2 linked regions of the Macaca mulatta genome follow. The protein of the gene in region 2 binds, or shares a complex with, the protein of the main gene of each other region. Links are inferred from orthologs where the notes say so. Each region holds a gene or a part of one and is shown on either strand. Other genes may lie near its edges.

Region 1 (3,147 bases), on a different chromosome or scaffold from region 2:
CTGAGGCATGAGAATCACTTGAACGTGGGAGGTGGAGGTTGCAGTGAGTTGAAATTGCACCACTGCACTCCAGAGTGAACAACAGAGCAAGATTCTGTCTCAAAGTAAATACATAAATAAATACAAATGAAAGCTTAAAAAAAAAGAGAAGAGGGCTGGGTGTGCTGGCTTACACCTATAATCCCAGTGCTTTGGGAGGCAGAAGTGGGAAGATTGCTTGAGCCTAGGAGTTTGAGACCAGCCTGGGCAACATAGCAAGACTCTGTCTCTACAAAAAGTTTTAAAAAATTAGCCTAGCATGGTGGTGTGCACCTGTGGTCTCAGCTACTTGGAAGGCTGAGGTGGCAGGATTGCTTGAGCCCAGGAATTCAAAGGTACAGTGAGCTGTGATTACACCACTGCTTTCCAACCTGGGCAACAGTGAGAACCTGTCTCAAAATTTAGAAAGCAAAAAACAAAAACACAACACTTGAGGGGACAAAGAAAAGCAAGATCACTCTTTTTTTTTTTTTTGAGACGGAGTCTTGCTCTGTTGCCAGGCTGGAGTACAATGGCGAGATCTGGCTCACTGCAACCTCCGCCTCCCGGGTTCAAACGATTCTCCTGCCTCAGTCTCTTGAGTAGCTGGGATTACAGGTGCGCTACCACACCCAGCTAATTTTTGTATTTTTAGCAGAGACAAGGTTTCACCATGTTGGTCAGGCTGGTCTTGAACTTGTGACCTCATGATCCACCCGCCTCGGCCCCCCCAAAGTGCTGGGATTATAGGCATAAGCCACCGTGCATGACCATAAGATCACTCATTTTTTTCTAGGTTGGACTCTTCACAGAAATTGGACCCATGTCTTGCTTCATCTCTCGACACGTAAGTCTAGGCACACTGGGTGGGGCTGAGGAAGAGAGATACCCATTCATTACCATCTACTGAAGCATCCTTTTAAAGTGCTACCCTAATCTCACTTTCCTTTCAGTCCATCCCTTCAGAGATGGAGTTTGATCCTAACTCCAACCCACCATGTTACAAGACAATGGATGAGGTAAGTGGACAGAAAGAAGTCAGGAAGAGGAAGAGAGAATCAGTCATCCTGAGGGAGAATATTGGCCTGAGGATGGCCGAGCACAGATGGTCCCTGAATTACCATGGCTTGATTCATGATTTTATGACTTTACGATGATGCGAAAGTGATGTGCTTTCAATATGCCCCCGGGCTTACGGTGAAGTAGTTGTGATGTAACCTCTCATAAACTGAGGAGCATCTGTACACTGTTCCCTCCTCTCCCCAGGATATTGTGATTCAGCAGGACGATGAGATCCGCTTAAAGATTGTGGGGACCCGTGTGGACAAGAATGACATTGTGAGTCTTTTCCCCACCTCTACCTATACCAGGCTGAGCGGAGAGCTGTTGGATTTCTTGCCACCTAGTTTCAGGGGGTTCTATGCTCTTCTGTCAGGAAGAAGGGATGGATGGGCAGAAGGCCTGGGGCTGCGGGGTAGAGGTTGGTTCTGTGCTCATCTTGGCTTCACTTTCTTTTTTTTTTTTTTTTTTTTTTTGAGACGGAGTCTCGCTTTGTCGCCCAGGCTGGAGTGCAGTGGCCGGATCTCAGCTCACTGCAAGCTCCGCCTCCCGGGTTTACGCCATTCTCCTGCCTCAGCCTCCCGAGTAGCTGGGACTACTGGCGCCCACCACCTCGCCCGGCTAGTTTTTTGTATTTTTAGTAGAGATGGGGTTTCACCATGTTAGCCAGGATGGTCTCGATCTCCTGACCTCGTGATCCGCCCGTCTCGGCCTCCCAAAGTGCTGGGATTACAGGCTTGAGCCACCGCGCCCGGCCTTCACTTTCTTTTTACCATCTTTCCTGCAGTTTGCTATTGGCTCCCTGATGGACGATTACTTGGGTGAGTGCCTGATCATATGGGCTGGGGTTATTGCCTGGAGAAGGGGTGTGTAGGGGTGGGGAGTAATACAGGATTTAATGCCCAAATGAGAGAGAGACAGAAGAAACTTTCACGCTGTCTGGTTGAAAGATCCAGGACACGTTCCTTGGGATGAGAAGTACATGGTTGTGGCTGCCCCCAAATTCTGGGTCTAACTGATGCACTTTTTCTGGTTTCACAGGGCTTGTAAGCTGAGCCTAGTGGCTTCCTACCCTTGGTCCTGATGTAGGAAGTGTGATTGTCACACTTACCGTGTTGTCCAGAGGTCCAGTCTGGCTGCTGTTGTGGAGGCAAGGAAGGCAACTCATTCCAGAAGGCATCTGGTGCTTCTTTTAGCTTAGCTACTGCCTCCTGATTTTTCAGTATGTGTTCTAAGTATAAAAAGTCCTTGGTTCTCATGGAAGTGTTATCCTCTTTTTTTTTTTTTTTTTTTTTTTTTAGCAGTAACAATAACTCTTTAAGGAGGCTGTGGAGTTGTCTGCTTACTAGCCCCTCTTTCTTATACTGATGCGTCTGCTATCCTCAGCCACCCAGGGGAGCTGACTAACCCATTTGTCCAGGTTTAAAGGTGACCTCATTGAAGTCAAGGCTCTGATGTTGGGTCTTTGGCTTCCAGCAAATGATACAGTCATTAGCGGCATTCTGAGTACTGATATAGTTCCAGAGTGTTTGCTCTTCTCCTGCCCTTAAAAGTAACCAAGAGCATAACTGGGAAAGAAGGGAGAGGAGACAGCAGACAGGGAGAGATGAACAAGAGGCTAGTAATGACAGGCTATAGGATCTCAACACAGCCCTTCCTAAGATGGGTATATACACAACAGTGTATCACTATACTACACTGAACTGAAGATGTAAAAGGGCTCAGAATCTAGTTAGGGTACAAAAATGTATGAAATACCTATAGGATTAAACAAACATGCCAATTTTCCCTGACACTATACCTCGGCAATACTATTTGTCTACCTTGGACTGCCCTTTCCCAGCTTGTCCATTTCCTATCTACTAATCTGTGAAATTTCATTTCAGTTATGTTTTTTTTTTTTTTTTTCTTTAACTTTCTTTGACTACCTTGGGAAGCAGAGCTCTAGCAGAAAACAAGAAAGCATGGTATTCGGATTGATACAGAGCCGGTTTAAGTCTTAGCTGGACTCGGGAGGATGAGGGATGAGACAGGAAAATCGCTTGAATCCGGGAGGGGGAGGTTGCAGTG
Region 2 (4,467 bases):
CAGTGGCACAATCTCGACTCACTGCAACCTCCAAACAGGCTCTTCTTAAACATCACCTTCTCTATGATGTCTTTCCAGTTCTGGTGAAGCATTAATTTTTTTCCTGCTCAAAACTCTAAGAGATCTTGTATGTACAGTCCTTACTGCATTTACACAGTTCTGTAACTGGTGATGGAATTAAATATGTACAAGATGACCTTGATATATCCTAGGAAGAAACATTTTTCAGCAACAAAGATCAGAACTCAAGGTATTATTTTTAACAGAAAATATTAATGTAAGGAGAAAAAACTTGAAATCAATACGTAGTTCAAATAAAATTCTGATGAGATGAGAATGAAGACACACTTTCTAAGCAACAAGTTACTACTTCTTTTTTTTTTTTTTTCTGAGATGGAGTTTTTGTTCTGTTGCCCAGGCTGGAGTGCAACGGAGCAATCTCAGCTCACTGCAACCTCCGCCTCCCAGTTTCAAGCAATTCTTCTGCCTTAGTCTCCTGAGTAGCTGGGAATACAGGCGCATGCCACCATAACCGGCTAATTTTGGTATTTTTAGTAGAGATGGGATTTCACCATACTGGCCAGGCTAGTCTCAAACTATTGACCTCATGATCCACCTGTCTCGGCCTCTCAAAGTGTTGGGATTACAGGTGTGAGCCACCGTGCCCGGCCCAATCCTGTGATGATTTTCTAAATGTGACTCTGGTTACTTACCCTCCCCTCTAATTCGTACTGCACACTGCCAAACTTTTTTTTTTCTGAATAAATATTTGGCATCTCTCCCTCACTCAAATCCTCCAAAAAGTTTGTTACTTCCTTGTAAACTAAAGTTAGAACATCTCCGTTTCATGATATGACAATCTGAGTATATGGTCCCAACCTTTATCTACACAGATCTTCTGCTCTAGGTTCTCTCTGTTTTCCACGACACACCATGCTGATTATGTATTTTGAGTCTTGCATTTCTGTTCCATTCCCCATGGTATATGCTATGTCCACCCACCCAAATCCTGTAAGGCGTAAACACTGAGCATTTACCATGCTCCTAGAACAATGGCACCATCTCAAGTCACACCATTTTTTCAAGCTTTTTCCTTCAGTCTGCAAGGGCCATCTCCTCCTTAGTGACTCTCCTCCAATTAACACGCTGCTGGAGAGAGAAATGCCTATTTAATTCATCCTTTTAAGTCACACTGAGCTTGGAAATAAGTCAAATCAGTGCCACAGATTAAGGCGAGGGTTAAAGAATGAGAGGTCATGCATTTATTCATCACCTTTTTGTTGAGTAATTACCATGTGCCAAACACTATTCTGGGTATGACAGGCAAAGATCCAATCTCATGGAATGTGATTTTGTGTGTTGGAAAGACGGAGGTAACCAACTTTGAACATATTAACACAAAATCACTCTACACTGTGAAAAGTGCTTTGAAGAATGTAACGGCCAGGTGCGGTGGCTCACGCCTGTAATCCCAGCACTTTGGGAGGCCAAGGCGGGCGGATCACGAGGTCAGGAGATCGAGACCATCCTGGCTAACACGGTGAAACCCTGTCTCTACTAAAAATACAAAAAATTAGCCGGGCGTGGGGGCGAGTGCCTGTAGTCCCAGTTATTCGGGAGGCTGAGAGAGGAGAATGGCGTGAACCTGGGAGGCGGAGCTTGCAGTGAGCCAAGATCGCACTACTGCACTCCAGATTGGGCGACAGAGCAAGACTCTGATTCAAAAAAAAAAAAAAAGAAAAAAAGAAAAGAAAGAATGTAATACGGATCTGTCGTGTTAGCAAATGATCATAAGGGAGCCATTTTTAAGAAGGCCGACAAGAAAGACCTCTTAGATTTAATTGACGAGAACTCAGCCATATGATAAATCAGTTAAAGCATTAAGAAACCGAAAGTCCTTACATTTTAAGTCTCAACGACTTTCAGGATCACATTTTGAATTTGCTTAAGTATTATGAAACTCCCCTAGGAGAAAACACTTCCCAACATGAAACAGTAAAGCACAAATAGTGCCCGCTGTGAGCCAACCAAAATTGCTGTCTTTACATAAAACATTTATTGACGGCCAGTTTCATCAGACCCAAATGTGCTCTGAAAGAATACTCCAGTCCAATGACCTCTCCTGACCTCTCCTTCTGTTTGTTCAGGGCTCTCTCGCCTCTTTTGAGAGCTTCATTAAGGACCATTTACCTAAGAGAATAAGAGTACGCAGGGACCAGTTCTAGTTTCTCGCCGAAAAAACTGTACAGAAAGCAGACATTCAACTACCTCACACAGGCTCATGGCTAAAACCAGTTTCACCAAGGGAAAGATACAAGTAATTCTTCGGTCTGGGATAAAATGCACCGCCCAAGTCTAGGAACACCAAGACAGGGCTCCAGGAAAGCCGTGAGAAAGAGATCTAGTCCAGGCTGATTCAGACCAGTAACCGGCTGAAAGACACTTTGCGTCCCTAAACTAATCTCCTCATCTGCAAACAGATACAACAATGACTCCTGCCTCTCAAAATATGTGAAGCTCTAACGAGATAGCCGTAAAAGAACTTTAAGAGGTGCACGGAGCGGGATGGGCTCAAGTTACTTAAATTATACTTGTGTTAGGAGGAGCGCAAGTGGGAGACTCGTGAACATTACCTTGACTAGCCACACTCCTGTGTTCTGTTTGGCGCCGGTCAGGTCGAGTTCCCCGCGCTCGGCCATGGGTCTGTTGCCGGTGGACGCGTGTGGCCTACAGCAGCGACACCAGGAGCCGGAGGGCTGAGAAGTGGGCGTCCGGAACAAAGGGCAAGCCGCGCTGAGAGGTGAAGAGGCGGCGTTCCTTACCTGCCAGGACACTGGAAACCGGGGGGAAAGAGGAACACGCCGCCGGTAGCCAGACTGCGCCTGCGCACTGTACGTTCGTACGGCGCGCTGTTGCAGACAAACTTTCTGTTTCGGAAATTCCTTGGGTGGGCGTGGCTGTCAGCGTAGTGTGTATCTGAGGGATTAAAACATAGGGTAAGATGAGCCAAAACGTTAGCAACGTATTTAAAGACATGGCCAGCATAACTGAAGAAAAAGATTATCAGAACGGAAAAACGGGGTTCAAAGAGACAAAAGTTGTCAGAACGTGTCCAACCCTAGCCAAAGAGAGAGAAAGAATATTTGAAGGACAGGCTTAGGTTAGTAAATTGGCATCCCCCCTGGCCAACGTCATTAGCACAAGTGGGCACTGGGATCAGACTTGGTAGCCCTGGGTATATTGAAAACATGCCGTTTCTAGACCTGAAAAGAAAGCCGTGTTTCAGCTCAGAGGCTGCCCGAGCTCCTCTGATTAAGCAAGCAGAGCACCTCATATTCCAAAACCCGAAGGTCTGTGACGAAACGAACAAGTAAGAGACAAAACTGATCGTTTCCTCCCCTGCTTAAAGTTTTCTCTTTCTCTTCTTGCCTCTAGAATAAAATTCAATCCTCCTGCTTCAACTGGGCCCTCTTAATTTCATCCGTTTTCCCCTCCCACCATTACTCCACCATGCACCGAACCGCACCAAACCCAGCAGACTTCCCGGAACACGTCAGAATCTTCCTCGGTCATTTCAGAGCCTCTGCACACTGGATTCCCTTCCTTGGAAGCCCTCTTTTACCCCTGCCCTCACTCCCACTCTTTCCTCTGGTTGGCAAACTCCTACTTATGGTTCAAGACCAATGGAAATGTCACTTCTTATGAGATCTTTTATCAACTTCCCCAGAAGAAATTAGTTTTTCTTCACATCACAGTGTGATACTTAGCACTCTGCACTATAATACATATGTTTACATATCTGCCTTTGCTTTCCAGACAACGAACTCCTCCTAGGCAGAAAGAGCTTTATTGAGGTATAATTTACAAATAAAAAATGGTGCTTTATTCATGTTATATCCACAATGTATAGCACAGTGTTTGACACATTGTCAGGTTTCAGCAGGCTTTGGGTGAAAGAACATTCGCTGAAGAGAAACAAACAGTAAGGTATTGTTAAGAAGGGCAAGTAATGTATTGAATCACACATCAGAGCCTTGCACAAAATTGAGGAAATTTTATGTGTGTTCAGCACAGGGCCAGGAAAAGCTGTCAGAACTCTGCGATTAGCTAGCAAAATTAACAGGAAAGATGGGAAGAGACCTGGAGTGTGTCGAAAATGAAAGTTTCAGTGGCTGGACCCTGTAACCCCACCTTTGGGAGGCTGAGGTGGGAGGATTGTGTCTGCCCAGGAGTTCAAGGCTACAGTGAGTCATGATCGTGCCTTGCACTCCAGCCTGGGTGACAGAGCAAGGCCCTGTCTCTGAAAAATAAATACTAAAACCAAAATTTTTTTTGGCCAGCCACAGTGGCTCACGCCTGTAATCCCAACACTTTGGGAGACCGAGATGGGAAGATCACTTGAGGGTAGGAGTTCAAGACCAGCCTAGTTAACATAGCGAGACCCCCATTTCTAAAAAGAAGAAAAAG

Evidence for each region.
Region 1: GTF2F2 (region 2) and POLR2G share a complex: the UniProt entries of both Homo sapiens proteins name them as parts of the TBP-based Pol II pre-initiation complex. The link is inferred for Macaca mulatta from reciprocal best matches to the Homo sapiens genes GTF2F2 and POLR2G.

What each region holds. Positions count from the first base shown.
Region 1 is NC_133419.1:11,294,470-11,297,616, reverse strand, and holds the end of POLR2G (DNA-directed RNA polymerase II subunit RPB7), read left to right. Parts: intron 1-814; coding exon 815-865; intron 866-971; coding exon 972-1,037; intron 1,038-1,284; coding exon 1,285-1,356; intron 1,357-1,864; coding exon 1,865-1,898; intron 1,899-2,118; coding exon 2,119-2,132; 3' UTR 2,133-2,339; downstream 2,340-3,147. UniProt on the Homo sapiens protein: Core component of RNA polymerase II (Pol II), a DNA-dependent RNA polymerase which synthesizes mRNA precursors and many functional non-coding RNAs using the four ribonucleoside triphosphates as substrates.
Region 2 is NC_133422.1:24,430,435-24,434,901, reverse strand, and holds the start of GTF2F2 (general transcription factor IIF subunit 2), read right to left. Parts: upstream 2,847-4,467; 5' UTR 2,700-2,846; coding exon 2,634-2,699; intron 1-2,633. UniProt on the Homo sapiens protein: TFIIF is a general transcription initiation factor that binds to RNA polymerase II and helps to recruit it to the initiation complex in collaboration with TFIIB.